Caenorhabditis elegans: one gene and its partner. The protein of the gene in region 1 purifies or fractionates together with the protein of each later gene. This does not show direct contact. Each region holds a gene or a part of one and is shown on either strand. Other genes may lie near its edges.

The links. Proteins that work in one complex are often made in the same cells at the same time.
Region 2: the proteins of hzl-1 (region 1) and marc-6 fractionate together in Caenorhabditis elegans (co-fractionation; one large-scale study listed by BioGRID). This does not show direct contact.

The regions. Positions count from the first base shown.
Region 1 is NC_003283.11:12,834,059-12,840,367, reverse strand, and holds hzl-1 (DNA2/NAM7 helicase-like C-terminal domain-containing protein), read right to left. Parts: upstream 4,681-6,309; 5' UTR 4,661-4,680; coding exon 4,602-4,660; intron 4,557-4,601; coding exon 4,415-4,556; intron 4,213-4,414; coding exon 1,375-4,212; intron 1,161-1,374; coding exon 1,113-1,160; intron 1,069-1,112; coding exon 994-1,068; intron 947-993; coding exon 842-946; intron 796-841; coding exon 763-795; 3' UTR 514-762; downstream 1-513.
Region 2 is NC_003279.8:10,797,703-10,805,661, reverse strand, and holds the start of marc-6 (RING-type E3 ubiquitin transferase), read right to left. Parts: upstream 6,040-7,959; 5' UTR 6,026-6,039; coding exon 5,875-6,025; intron 5,830-5,874; coding exon 5,718-5,829; intron 5,087-5,717; coding exon 4,420-5,086; intron 3,841-4,419; coding exon 3,471-3,840; intron 2,663-3,470; coding exon 1,446-2,662; intron 948-1,445; coding exon 837-947; intron 465-836; coding exon 218-464; intron 1-217. Other genes in the region: F55A3.2 (C2H2-type domain-containing protein), read right to left, coding at 7,762-7,861.

The sequences.
Region 1 (6,309 bases):
GCTGATTTGTATACACTCCGCGTTTTGCTTCAGTCGCTCCCCTGCCAATCAAAACTTGTCGTACTTTCTCATAAAAATCCCGCTGATATTTTCCCCTTGTTACATTTTACGTTGTTATTGCTTCTATACCCACTTATAGGTGTAGTTTCCAAAAGACACCAAATTCACTTTTCACTTGAACATAATAATAGAAAACCGGAAAGATATTTATTATGCATATCAGTTATACACACACTTTAACTGTAATTGTAGGTTGAAAATACCTCTATTGGTGATGAATTGCGAAGGAGCATCATGAAGTTTTTACAGAAAAATAGACAGAAAATGACGATTTTGAAAATGAACTTTTCTCTAGACAATACACAGTAATGTGTTCAAATATCGACATTTTTGAAATTAAATTGTAATTTGTTGCAACGTGCAAGGTGTCAAATTTAGGAGTTATTGTACTAACTGAAACTTTTTATTTTGTTTTCCATTATTTATAACAGTGTATTGTTTTTTGGGAAGATGTTTCTCTGTTAGTTTTATTGATTATTTTTATCTTTATGCCAGAAAAACAATGGAAAATTAAAAATGGTAAGGTGCCACATACTCTGACAAAATAAAAATAAAGCAGAGTAATTTCAAATCAAAAGACCGGTTTCGTTTTTTCAAGATCCACAAAATATGATGACTCGGAATTTGTAAAATGGAAATTATTGTCAAATTATAAAATACTGGTTTGTTTGTTATTAAACATTCTGCTCGTTAATTTCTGTTTCATTGGACTATAGTTGAACTTGTAGCCGAATTCTGAAGAAAATAATTTAAAAAAAGTAATATTTTATCTCAACTCTACTTTTCGGCCATTTGTGGAATTTTGCCCAATATTGTTCCTATTCCGTCTTCTTCTTCTTTGTTGAGGTTTTGAACTTTGTTCGGTGTCCTCTTTGGTTTTTACAGTCTAAAATATTTATAGTTATAGAAGGAAATGTTAAAAAAAAAACAAACCTGAGAAATTGAGATATGTTTTCCTTCATTTTGATTTTTTTGAATTTTATTCGATTTTTTTGCTGTACATTTAATCTGAAAATTAAAAAATTATTTGAATATCTCACATTCGAACATACCTGAACCATTTGTGGTTGTTTTTGTTCACTGCCACCAAATGTTGAAACCTTAAAAATACATTTTTGCAATCATCAAATTTTAGAATTTTAAGAGAAATTTTTTTTAAACTAATTCTTTCTATTCTGGAGACGTCAACTACGTATTTTGGTTATAGTTATATAAAATATTCTCCTATTCTGGATACTCATTCTTCAGAAAACTTTTTTTGAATAAAGTTTCAAGAAACACAATAGTATTATATGTATTATTAAAATTACTTACTTCCATTGAGCATTTGTTGATCTGTGCACTCTGAGCAATTGTATCCCAATGTTTTGCTTTCTTCAGTTTTGCAATATTTCCAATGATAATAGTCGCTTGACGAGCTCTAGACATTGCCACGTTGACACGAGTTCCTTCTTGCATAAAAAGGGATGGATTCTTATTAGTGCAGCAAACAATCATCACTTCTCGTTCAGTTCCTTGAAATGCATCAATTGTTCCACATTTTACATCAGTTTTCTTTAATGCATCCGCGAGTAAAGATGTTTGGGCTTTATAGAATGAAATAATACCAATATCAGATTCTGAGAGACCATATCCTTTGACTTTCTTAGTTAATAAACTAACAATTCTCACAACTTGATCTTTTTCAGAATTATTTGCCACCGAAGTGCCCATACGATATCCGTCTTTCTCGTGATTGAGAACAAGAATTGGGAAAGATGAATTTGGCCAAATATCAGGGCGCATTCTCATGAATTCGTCTCTCTGATTCTTTTCTACTCCAGAAATCAACTGACCATTGTAAAATAGATCACTCAGAATTTTTGTGGTAGTTGGATGACATCGATAAACAAGTCGAAGGATAGATTGTGGAAACATTTTATCACGAGAAGCTCTTGCCATTGTTTTACCAATTCCATAATCTTTGAGAAGACCTTGCAAATCATCATCACAGTAAGCTGGTAACTGATTGATGTCTCCAACAAGGCCAAAACTTGCATTAGGAAATTTATGAAGTAGGCTAATCAAGGTATGTTCTGGAACTTGGCTTGCTTCGTCGAATTGAATATTTGATACATCTCGAAGAACATTATTTTCCAATAAATTGTGGATAGAATCCGCAGTTGAAACGATAATATCAGGTGCATAAAGAGCGAAGAATGCTTCTTTCAAGATAGCTTGGGAAGGCTTATGTTCTCGTTGATTTTTAAGAATGTTTTCATAAATTCGTTTTGCTTCTCCAACAAGTATTCCTTTGCAATGGTATTTTTGAGTTGATTGTTCGACGATAGCCTTCTTCATCTCCCTTGTTAGATTTTCACCGTTTTCTTTCTGAATTTCTGTGTTTGTGGCCCACTCAAAAAATTCGTCCTCCATCAGAATGGGCATGTCAAGTTCAGTCTTTGAAGAATCCGGAAGAGAATTCCAATTGGACTCGCTAACATATCGAAGAAAACGAATATGGTCGCATTTGTGTAGTTTCAATGCAAATTCAATTAAATTTACTCCTGCATTATTACTTTGAGTTACCAACAACTGTTGTTTGTTGAACGATTCAGAACGCATATACTTTTTTTGAAGCTCAACTGCAGCTGTGACAATTGTCATCGACTTTCCACAACCAAATGGGGAGTTTCCGAGAATCAAAGGAACACCAGAGAGAATCATGGATACATATTGATTTTGGTATTGATTGAGCCCAATTGGTATTTTACTTGGGAATTCAAATTGTTTATTCCAATTGATGTTTCCCGTTGAATTGATTGGAGATCCACCATAAAGTGCAGTTACAATACGTCTACCATTTGACGACGGGCTCATTTTTTGAAGAAATTCACAGTCCAACCTAGGAGTTTCTAGGAATTGTGATTGACTTACAATCCAAGTGCCAGTTTGAAAGTTGAGAAGTTTGTTGTTGTTTTTGGGAATCGTTGCAGTAATTTCAAGTGATTTCCTATTATTTCCAAGAACGACTGTTTCAATAGAAGTTTTCAAACTTTCTCCTTGTCCATTAATTTCTATTTTCTGATTGGGATTCCAACGTCCTTCAGTTGGTTGTTTTGAAGGATTATCAATGGAAAATCGAAAATTTTGACTTTTGCGGTGGATGTTTGTCATTTGAAAATTTCTTCCATCAAATCTTCCATTTGAAACCGTTTGAGCAGCTGAGGAACCCATAATGACACACTTCTGAGCAACTAATACAGACGCTTCGGTATTTAACGAATAGATTGATGAGTTGAATGCATCCACTCCAATTTTGAACATGTTCGTTTGTCTTTCACATAGCGAATGAGTATAGATTGTACCAAGAGAATTCGAATATGATGGTAACTTGGAAGTTAAAGCCATCAGATCTTCCCAGTGTTGTCGATGAAAGCCTTCGGAAAACTTAACTTTAGATTTCTCCGGGATGAAAGCTGTGCCATAGTACATCATATCCGTTTTCAGCTTCTTTCTGTCAATTTCAATCACATCCATAGCTTCCGTATGACCTTCCACTATTGCTGCTCCATTATTCAACATAGCGAAGTTAACTCTGATAATGCTTTTTCTTTGCAGAACAACCATTTTGTTCACCTCCCAAATACATGGATCGTGCGGACTGACGTTTTTAATAGTTGGAGCAATTGAAGGAGCGTTCGATTTCTTGGAAAGTTCTGTAACAGCGACCACATCTCCAGGAAACAACATTCCAATTACACTGTAGTTCTCGGAACCTTTCGTAATTGTCCGATCGTTGACTTCTACAAATCGAAGATCTCCGCGATGTAATCCATGCAAATTGGCGTGACAGGCAATCAGAATATATTTATTATCCTCTGCGGATAAGACACGAAAATAAGCACGAATTCCTCTCTCGTAACTGTATGTTGAGATGTCCCTGAATACTTGACGGGGTTTTGGAGAATTGAAATTTGGTCCCCAGCTGAACGTTCTTGCAGCAAAATTGATGGCATCAGAATGCTTATAACTTTTCAATTCCTTTTCCACTTCAGATTCGATTTCTGTCTTCTTTTTCTGTCTCGAATTTGTTTCTGGAGGCTGAACATAAAACTTGCTGAACGCATTCTGTTCCTTTTCCGAGAAAGTTCGGCTGTAGACTGAACTGTTCTGAAAATTTCCTGAATTTGTACAAAATATAATAGTATATTAGAAAACACTTTTTTAAAATCAAAATGAAAATTCGATAAGAATAAACCTAATTTTTGGTCGTTTCGAACAACTTTGACAAAAAAACTAATTTTCGGTTGTAGGTGTGCTAGACTAATTTTTTTAAAAATGCATCAAAAAAATTGAATTTGTGATTACATACTTGAACAACCGATGATCTATATGACGTTGTTTGTGAAGATTTTATAGATGCTATGTGCGATGTATGATATTGTTGAACGTCGTCTTCTTCTTCTTCGTAATCTCTTCTATAATATGAATTGTTATAGCTGGATTGTACTTCTCTAAAAAATAAAAATTGGGTTTTAACAAAAACTATTCAAGCTTACCTTGTGGGTTCTGATGGTGGAAAAATTGTTTCTAAAAGATCCTGAAGTAATTTCCACATTATCCAATTGTTACCTGAAAATGAAAATTTATTTTAATAAATTAGATTTTTGAGGAAAAAGAAAGACAAAAAAATTTATCGACGACTTCCTAAAGAAATAATTGAACACTGAGATTTCACCGCTATTTTGACTAGAAATAACTTTTTCTTAACGTTTCATTATGATATTTGATCATTTCAGTCCCATAGGAATGGTTTTTAGTCGTTTCGCCACTGGAGTAGTCCACCTTTAAGAACAAATGTCTGCAATTTCTGTAGGTAAAATGACAACATTGTTTTGGAATACACGCGAACATAAAGTAACATATGTAAATATTTAGTTTTGAAAATGTTTGAAGATGTCTTCAGAAATATCAGAAAGTATATATTTATAAAATAATCTCTCAAAATATATGTCGACGTGGTAGTAACAATTTTTGAGAAGAGGGTTGCGAAATATGTATGGCTGTTGCAAATGTGCTGAGGGACGACCATTCGCAAAGTGTGGGGATTTTAAAACAGAGGATTCGGGATAAAAAATGATTTACAAATGCTACATCTTCAAAAAAAAAAAATGTTATGTAGTTCAAGCTGTTCAAAGTGAATTTTTCCAGCATAGACTGGGTGCCAACAATGAAAAGTTAGTGGACGTTTTAGTATTAGCAAGGGCCTCGAAAGAGGGAAAAAGTGCAATGATTTATAAAAAGAGACAGTTGCATGGAAGAATCGATAAATAATCGTTTCCCACATTCAAAAAAATGTTCAAAAAGAAAAAAAAGTCAATTGATAAGAACAATTTTTGAAGTTATTTAACATTTGAGGAGCTTACCAAGTTTTTTGATTATTGGCACATGAGTTCGATTTGAAGATGTAGTTCAAGCTGTTCAAAGTGAATTTTTCCAGATATTCAAATAAATACATTATTTTAAATTTGGTTTTAATTGTTTTGTAATTTTTAGAAGTTCAGCGAAAATACACAAGAATTGTTGGCTGTTAATTAAATAACTAATTTTTCCTGTAAAAGATGCTAGAATTCATCATTTTGGCTATTATTTAGTAATATTGAAATATACCTATTGATGTCCGACATTGACATTTGTCAAATTACATTGACATTGACAAATTAATTGTTTTGATTATAACATTTCACTGAATTCAAACAATTTTGAAATAAAAATTCAAACTTTTCAACAACTTTCAAATTTATAAAATTGTGTACAATCAATTTCAGAAAATTGAACTAATTAGTTGAACGAACTCCGAAACAAACAAATAAATTTTTAAAAAATATTAAATCAATTTTATCGATATAGTTGGTGGTTTTTTCTTTAGTTTTCTGTCGGAAATCCCATTTCTATTTTTCCTCGGAATAACTCGATATTCCTCGTTGTCCTAAATTTTTCAAAATTATACTCACAAGTATAGTATCAAAAATATTAAATTGAAAAAAAAAACAATTACCTGCGTTTGCAGTTTTTGATTTTCGTTTTCCAGTGTTTCACGACGTTGATCATCTCGATTCTGATTTTTCGTTTCTAGTTGAACTTCTTTAGCAACATTTTTTTTATTATTGGCCTTTTCTTCATTCTGAAAACAACAATTTTGCCTTTGCAGGGTTTCATAATGTTGGTTAAATTATTAGATTTTCATTTCAAAAAATGGAGATGAGG
Region 2 (7,959 bases), on another chromosome or scaffold:
CTGCATGATTTTTGTTTGACAAATCTAAATTTAATTTTTTAAATAAGGTTTTCAGCTGATAAAAACCAATAAAAAAGTGAAAATGATTGAAATCCAGGTTTTTTGGGGTCTCCTCGGGGAGTACACGAGCTGCGTAAATCAACACATGGCCATTTTTGAGATTTTTTCAATTTAAAGGATCCAATTAATTCTGAAATCCTTCTAGAATCCATTTTACCTGAAATAAACGCGTAAAACTTGATCACAACAACCGGAAAAGCGATAAAAGTCGATAGATACAGTATACATGGGACGACAATCCTCACGAAAACGTGTAACGCCGCAAAATTCTCAATTCCACGTTGCACAAGTAGATCGAGTTCTGTTTTCAGCCACCAATCGGGTCCCATTACAGCAATTACACCGAAGATTTTGATTTGAACAACGCCCATTGCCCAGTCTTGATATGGGAACATTAGTGCTGTCTGAAATGATTTTTTGAAATGATTTGAAGATTTTCTACTCTTTTTTTGTGGCCAGAATATATTTATATACTTTTTGCAGCGAAAAATCATAAACTTTGAAAATTGAAACTTTAAAAAAATTATTATGGAAACGCAGAAAAATGCTTCTTTTGAAATTGAAAACTCTCCACCCCTTTTTTTCGTATTTTTGTCTTGTTTTTCGTTGCTTTCAACGATTATAATGCCGAAATTGATTAAAATATGAATTTTAAACGTTTTTTCGGCGTAAAAATCATTTTAAAAAGACAAAAAGACTTGAAAACTTATGATTTTAGGCTAATTTTTTAATAATTTTTTCTCAGAATTTTCAGAAATCCAGTCTGAAAGTGTTACCTGTTGATATCCCAATCGCATTGGAGTGAAGAAAACCAATTGGAAATAAGTACCCATCAAAAGTGGCAAGACGATAATTATTGGAATTGCAACAAGAAACAGGCGCATTCCCTGAAAATTTTTTATTAATTTTCAATTTTAAATTTTGAATGGATGGGTTTTTTTTGTAAATTAAGAAATTATGGAAAATTTGGAAATTTTCTGAAATTTTTTTCCAAAAACCGGCATCCTTGTGTTGAATGGGCCCGTGTCGATTCACGCAGCTCGTGTACTCCACGAGGAGAAGATTTTACAGTTTTTGTCTGAACCACTTTTTTTCTGAAATTTAGAACAGTAAATTTTTGGGCTAAAAATATGGTAATCGGTCTCAAAACGATAATTTTTGTCACATACGAAATTACAAAAATCGTCGAGACCGGGTACCGTGTTTTTGGCGGAAAAATTGCGGATTCGGTATTGCCTCCAATCTCTAATTCGACTGTCAAATTCAAGAAAAATTAGCTACATCTGTTCAAAATCAAGCTTTTTTGGTAAAAAAAACAATCAACACCTTCTCCACGAGGAGTACACGAGGTACTCCGTAAATCGACATTAAATAATTTACCGTACCAAGTAAGAATAATGAACAACAGCTCTCTTGAACAAGTGTGGTCCTCCTCTCACAAACTTCGTCACAACTGCTCCAAACTTCCCGATTGTCCAACAAACATAGAGACCCAGAGAAACAGTGTACATCTCATGAACATTCGTTTGTCCCGAAACCATTAGAATAATGAAACGTCCAATTGAAGCAGGTACAATGAATACAACAACACTTGATAGAGTTGTTGTCAAAGACATTAGAACAAGAAGAATCGATACACGAACTCCGAATAGTGATGGTCGATTGTATGGCTCGTAGGCTCGGGGCTCGCGGAGCAGGAGAAGAGCTTGATGCTCAGCTGCAAGACCTCCACCAGCTTGATTATTTCCTGCTCTCAATGGATCATTGTTATTATTATTATTGTTCTGATTATTGTTATTGTTATCCGACAACAAATACTGATCCAAATCCAACGCAGCTCCAACTACTTTACACCAAAATCTGACTCCATACTTGATAAAACCACGACCATTTGCATGTTCTAAGATTGCAGGCATCACTACTTGAAGTATCAGTAGTTCCAATGAGATTTCTGATAGTGGAGTCTCTGCGCTCATTGAAACATTGTAGGGTAGAAGTGATGGAATAAGTGATGAGATTATGTTGAGAGGAATGTAGAAGATGAGAAGAATCGTTGAAAAGAACAGAGTTGTAGATACAACAAGTCTTCGGAAATGCCGCGTGAACGGTAGATCAATCATTTCTTGAATTGGATTAAAGTCGGGATCATTTAGATTTCTCATAAACCATAGTACTCCAGGACGCAGAATTTCTCGTAGAAGTATTACAAATGACGCTGAATAAAATACATAAACCATTCCAACCATCCAATGAAGGAATATTGACATGAATGGAGCTGTGGCAAATGTTGCAATTCTTTGTGATAATGTTATATTGAATAATGGAAGTGTACAAACATCCATCCAACATCCACACATTACAGGGAAAAATCCAATTTCCAAGAATACCAGCAAGAAGACTTTAATGATAAGGAACATTATTCCAAGGAATCGATACATCATTTTCATTTTGAATTGGAGCATTATTTGGTGAATGACGTAGGTTATGATGGCTATTTGAATGTATCCAAGAAGCATCGCTACGATTGATGGGAAATATGAAATTTTTCCATGAAGTCCGATGACACTTAGGAACCAGTTTCCAATGCGAAATGGGAAGTACGCTGAAAAGTTATTCAGTTTGAATAAATTTTGTTCGGTTCTTAGCGATTTTTAAGCGGAAAATTTGGAACTTTTGAGCAGGAAAATTTAAGAAATTATCCTAAAAGAATCAAAAAAGCTGCCTGAAGCTGAAGCTGCTGAAGCTGGGGAAATTTCAGATTTTTTCCAAAATTTCCTTTTTCGATTTTTCAATTTTTTCTTTAAAAATTGATAAATTATCTTTTTAAATGTATTTAATTTGCTTTTTTGAAAAACTTGCAATTATTATTATTACCTAGACGCAAAAAATACGGTACCGGTATACGGTATCGACCAGACAATTTTCGTTACATGTGCGCCTTCAAAGAGTACTGTAATTTCTACTGTGGAATTTTCAACGCTAGAAATAAGAATTTTCTATCTACAGTACTCTTTAAAGGCGCACGTTTAACAAAAATAGTCGTGTAAAATAAATAAAACTTGATTTTTAATTAATTAATTTGTTTGTTTTTCACAATTTTTCACCGTTAATTTCAGAATAAAAACAATAATCAAATAAGAATATTCAAAATTTTAAATTTTTTTGAGATTGCAATTTATAAAAATGTTTCTTGTTTATTTGGAATAATGTAAATTTTTTGAAAGTTATTTTTTCAACAAAAAACAAATTAAAAATATCAAAAATCCATCCAAAAAAAACTTTTTTTTTGACTATTTCTTAGGTAATCATTTTTAGTCTCCGCTTTCTAAATTTATAGATATTTTAAATAAAAAAACTGTTAAAAAAAGGGAAAATTCCGCTTAAAACTCGCTACTCCAATTAAAATTTACCAAAAGTAGCAGTAAAAAGTGTATTCAATGATATAACCCAGAATACATGTTCCAAGAAAATCAAAGATCCATCAAGTCCCAATAATCTCTGCCATGTCAGTTCATCACCAAATCGATCCCATTCTCTCCAATTATCTTCTTGATCTCCAGCTCCACCTTGTTCTTGAGCTGCTGCTGCTGCCGCCGCTGCTTCTTCATTTTCTCGTTGACGACGAATTCGTCGATTTGCACGTGCAGCTGCTCGTGGAACTATTGGCTCCGGCTCCATTGGTGGTGGAATACGATCTTCTTGTACATTTTGAAGTACATGATCATTTTCGAGTACTTCATTCTCATCATCTCTCATGTCATCGTATATACCCAGATTTGGCTAAAATAATGAATAAAATTAGTGAATTTTTGAATTAATCTGTGAATTTTGCAAGGTTGCGGCGCGGTTTACCAAACAATTAATTTTACAAAGCTATCAACTTTTTTCAGTTTAAGGTTATTCTAATGTTTTTTTTTCTAAAAAATCTCTTTTTGTGGCTTACATATTTTAGGAAAAAAAGCAATTTGATAATAAAAAAGCCAAAATAGTCAGAAAATCCGTGAAAGCACAAAAGAAACACGAAATTTAATTATTGAAATTACTGGCAGGTAAATTCTGAAATAGAATTTTTGTTTCCTGAAATTTTCAAGTGAAACATTTAGCAATAAGCATTTAATAATGTCCCTGTAGACAAGACACTTATTTTTCACTTGAAAACTTCAGGAAAGACGAAGAATTCGTAGAAACAAAAGTGCGGCACGGAAAAATGGGCGGAGTTTCGAGGCAAAAGCGCGGCAATTCAAATTCGCCAAAGTTAGCGGTCTTCAGGCAACCTAGATGAAGTTTTTTCGTTTTTCAATATATTTTCAGGAAAAAAAACCGCGCCGCGGTCTTGCAAAATTCCTATATCTACAGTACCATCTGCGGCCGGAATCCATGTCTAGCTTCAAGAATATCACGTCTTCTTTCTTCAAATGGTACTCTCCTCCGAGCCACATAAGCTTCACCTTCTTCACGAAATTCTGGAACAGGATCCTCTTCATATCCAGATTCACTATCTTCTTCCTCTTCTTCATCATCCTCGTCGTCATCCTCCTCATCATCTTCATCTTCTTCATCATCTTCCGATTCATCCGACGATTCATTATTCTCATTAACAACATCATCCTCTCCTTCATTCTCTTCCGCTTCAATATTCAAAAAGTGTTGTGGTCCACCGATAATAATTTGCTCGCGGAGCCAGACAAGCGAGATGAATGTACACACAAAAACGAGAAGTAGTAGACTTCCTTTCAGAATATCATTGAAAAAATGTTCAGCTTTGAACAATTGGAATGGTGCATTGACAATGTCATGAAATGATAAATAGAAGATGCAATTATAGATACGGGCGGCTGTTAATGGTACAATTCCAAGCCATGTAGTCATTACAATTGTATATATAATCCATGTTCTGACCATTATTGCTCCTGATATCAAAACTCCACGTAATATTTCAAGAATTGGAAGAGCTTTTGGCATATCTTGTCGATAAATTGGTTGGAATGAATATTTGTGATTACACAGTTCACATACTTCTTTTTTACTGAAAAAATTAACATTTTTAAATTTTTGTTTGATTTTTAGAGAGAAACAAGAAATCAGGAGCTACAGCACTCTTTACAGGCGCACACAATTTGAGAATCGGCCGTTAATATTCCAGATATCGTATTTTTCAGGCAAAATTATCAAAATTTATTTTAAAAAATTCAAACTGACTAGAAAAGGCTGAATTTCATTAACAGACTTTTTCAGAATTTCAAAACCAAAAACATTTAACAAAAACTAGTTGGCTTGAAATCTTCAATTTTACATTTTAGAAGCAATTTTTTTGGTTTTTTAAAATTATTTTTTAGATCTTAAATTTTCAAATTTCTTCTAAAAATCTAAGAAACTACCCGAAAGTTGCTTTTTTTTCAATTTCGAAAGAAAAATCCCGAAAACTTGCCAAAATCTAAAACTTTTGTCACCTTTTTCGTGTCATAGCGACCAGAATTTAATTATTTTAAATTTCTACTTATTTTTGAGTGGTTTTTATCCGTTTTCTTGCCGATTGGCAAACAAAATTGGAAAATTGAATAAAAATCAAATTCCAGCCGCTGTAAATTGGTGAAATCTCAGATTTTGGCTAAATTTAGGCATTTTTTCAGCTATTTTTAATTGAAAATCACCATTACCTGTACTTGAGCCACTCTACTAGACATTCTTGATGTACATATTTAATACTTCCTGTACATAAGCACGGATAATAGAGACTTCCCTCATTTCCACGACATACTCGACACATTACTGGAAAAATATGGATTTTATCAATTAAAAACTTCAAAAACTGACAATGATCATCATTATCATCGATTATTGGATCAGAAGGTGGTTGTGGACACGGTTCTTCTGGATTTGGATTTTCAGAAGAAGTTGATGGTCGATTTGAAGCATCTACACTACCGGCTTCATGTTCCGGTGGTTGTTCATGTTCAACTTCCATTCGGTTTGAGGATTCTGAAAATTAATGGAATTTTATATTTAAAAATAGAGGAAATCGAGTATTTAAAGCCGATATTTCAAAAAAAAGGTTCAGGATTCCGAAATTTATACTTCTAATTCGACATTCTGTAGATTTACGTGGCTCAAATACTCCCGGAGGAGAAGATTTTGAATTTTTGGCAAGGTTGTAGACAAATTGTCGTTTTTAATGTTAAATACAAAACGAATGAGCGGAAATGTTCTAAAATCGATAAATATAGCAGAAAATTGTAAATACCTATGAAAAAATTGCAGGATTTCTACTGAAATCCTGTTTTAGAGGATTTTCGTTTTTTTCTTTATTTAATGCTAAAGTCGCAAATTTATATCAATTTTCCAGGATTTTAAGCAAAAACCAATTTTTATCATTTAATTATAAATTAGAAACTACAAATTCTCGTTTTCCGGAAGTTTTCACCAGTGAATAAATCAAAAATCACCTAAAATGCTTTAAATAAACGATAAAATAGCGATTTGAATGTTTTCTACTCGCGAAAATGATCCAAAATCAAGCTTTCCAGCTATAAACTTTAATTCTTCAAAGGGGGTCCACGAGTTTGAAAAGCTACTGGAATGTTTTTTAAAAATGTGAAAAAATTAGAAAATTGGTGGGAGAATCATGAAAAACACTAAATTTTAATGCAAAACTATTTTTGTCGGTGAAAAAATTGAGAAAATAGTTAAAATTAAAGCTGAAACTGTGATCAAAACAAAAATCGATAAGTTTCTCATGTTGATTTTGAAATTTATGCTGAAAATTAGAGTATTCGAAGCTTCAAAGCGTGATACAGCCACCAACCAGCAAGAGTGTTGGGAAATCGGAGACGCAGAGAGAAAAAGGGAAACCGGGTGAGAGAGTGTATAGAAATGAGAGACAGGATGGTGATAGGATAGAGAAGGAAAGTGCATTATAGCCTAGAAAAGATTATTTTTAACGAAAAATAGAATTTTACTATTTAAAATAATTTCTAAATTCTGGAATTTCTTCAGATTTTAATTTTTTTAAATCAAAATTTAAATTTGAGTGAATTTATATTTAATAAATTATTATTTAGTAAATTCGCGCACTCCTCATCGGTAAACATGGGTACTTTTTCATTAGAAAATAAAATAAAAACATACAAAAATTGTGAAAAACTACCGTAATTGCTTAAAGGCGCACACATTTTCTACGAAAACAATTAATCGTTGCAGGAGACGTTTTACAAAAGTGGCGTGCGCCTTTAAAGGGGTACTGTAATTTATAGACTTTTTTTGATTTTGGATCATTTTCTGTAAAAAACGCTCAACTTTATCTCATGAATACAGTTTTTCCAGTAAATTTTTTAGAATCATTGAATAAACTGATGGAAACGAGAAATTCTAGTTTTTACCAGTAATCAAAAATGAGAAGAATTTGCAAGGTTTTGATTAAGAATTGATTTTTTCTTGCAAATCACCAATTTATCTCATGTTTTCTTTAAAAAAAAACTCATTATCATAATAAATTAATTTCCGGACTTTCAACCGGTCAGTTAACGAAATTCAAAAAAATTTAATGAATAAACAATGAGATGAATTTATTAAAGCATTATAATAATATTATCTAAAACAAAAAATGCAATCATATGACTTGACAGCGAACATGTAAATAAAGTAACCCGTAGCAACGTAATTATCAACGAGAGAAAGAGAGAGAAGAGAAGCAGAGACACAGGCTTAGAGGCAGGTTAGAGTCACATCTCCTTCGACTTTCACACGATATTGTTGATATAGTTGAGAAGACGAGTGTGACGTCATTTCCAGAGGAGTTGGGATACTGAAACAAATAATTATTATGTTGGGAATGGGGATTGGAAAAATTGAATTCGCGAGTCAAAAACTACACAAATAAACTTTTTTTAGTTGCTCGGAAGG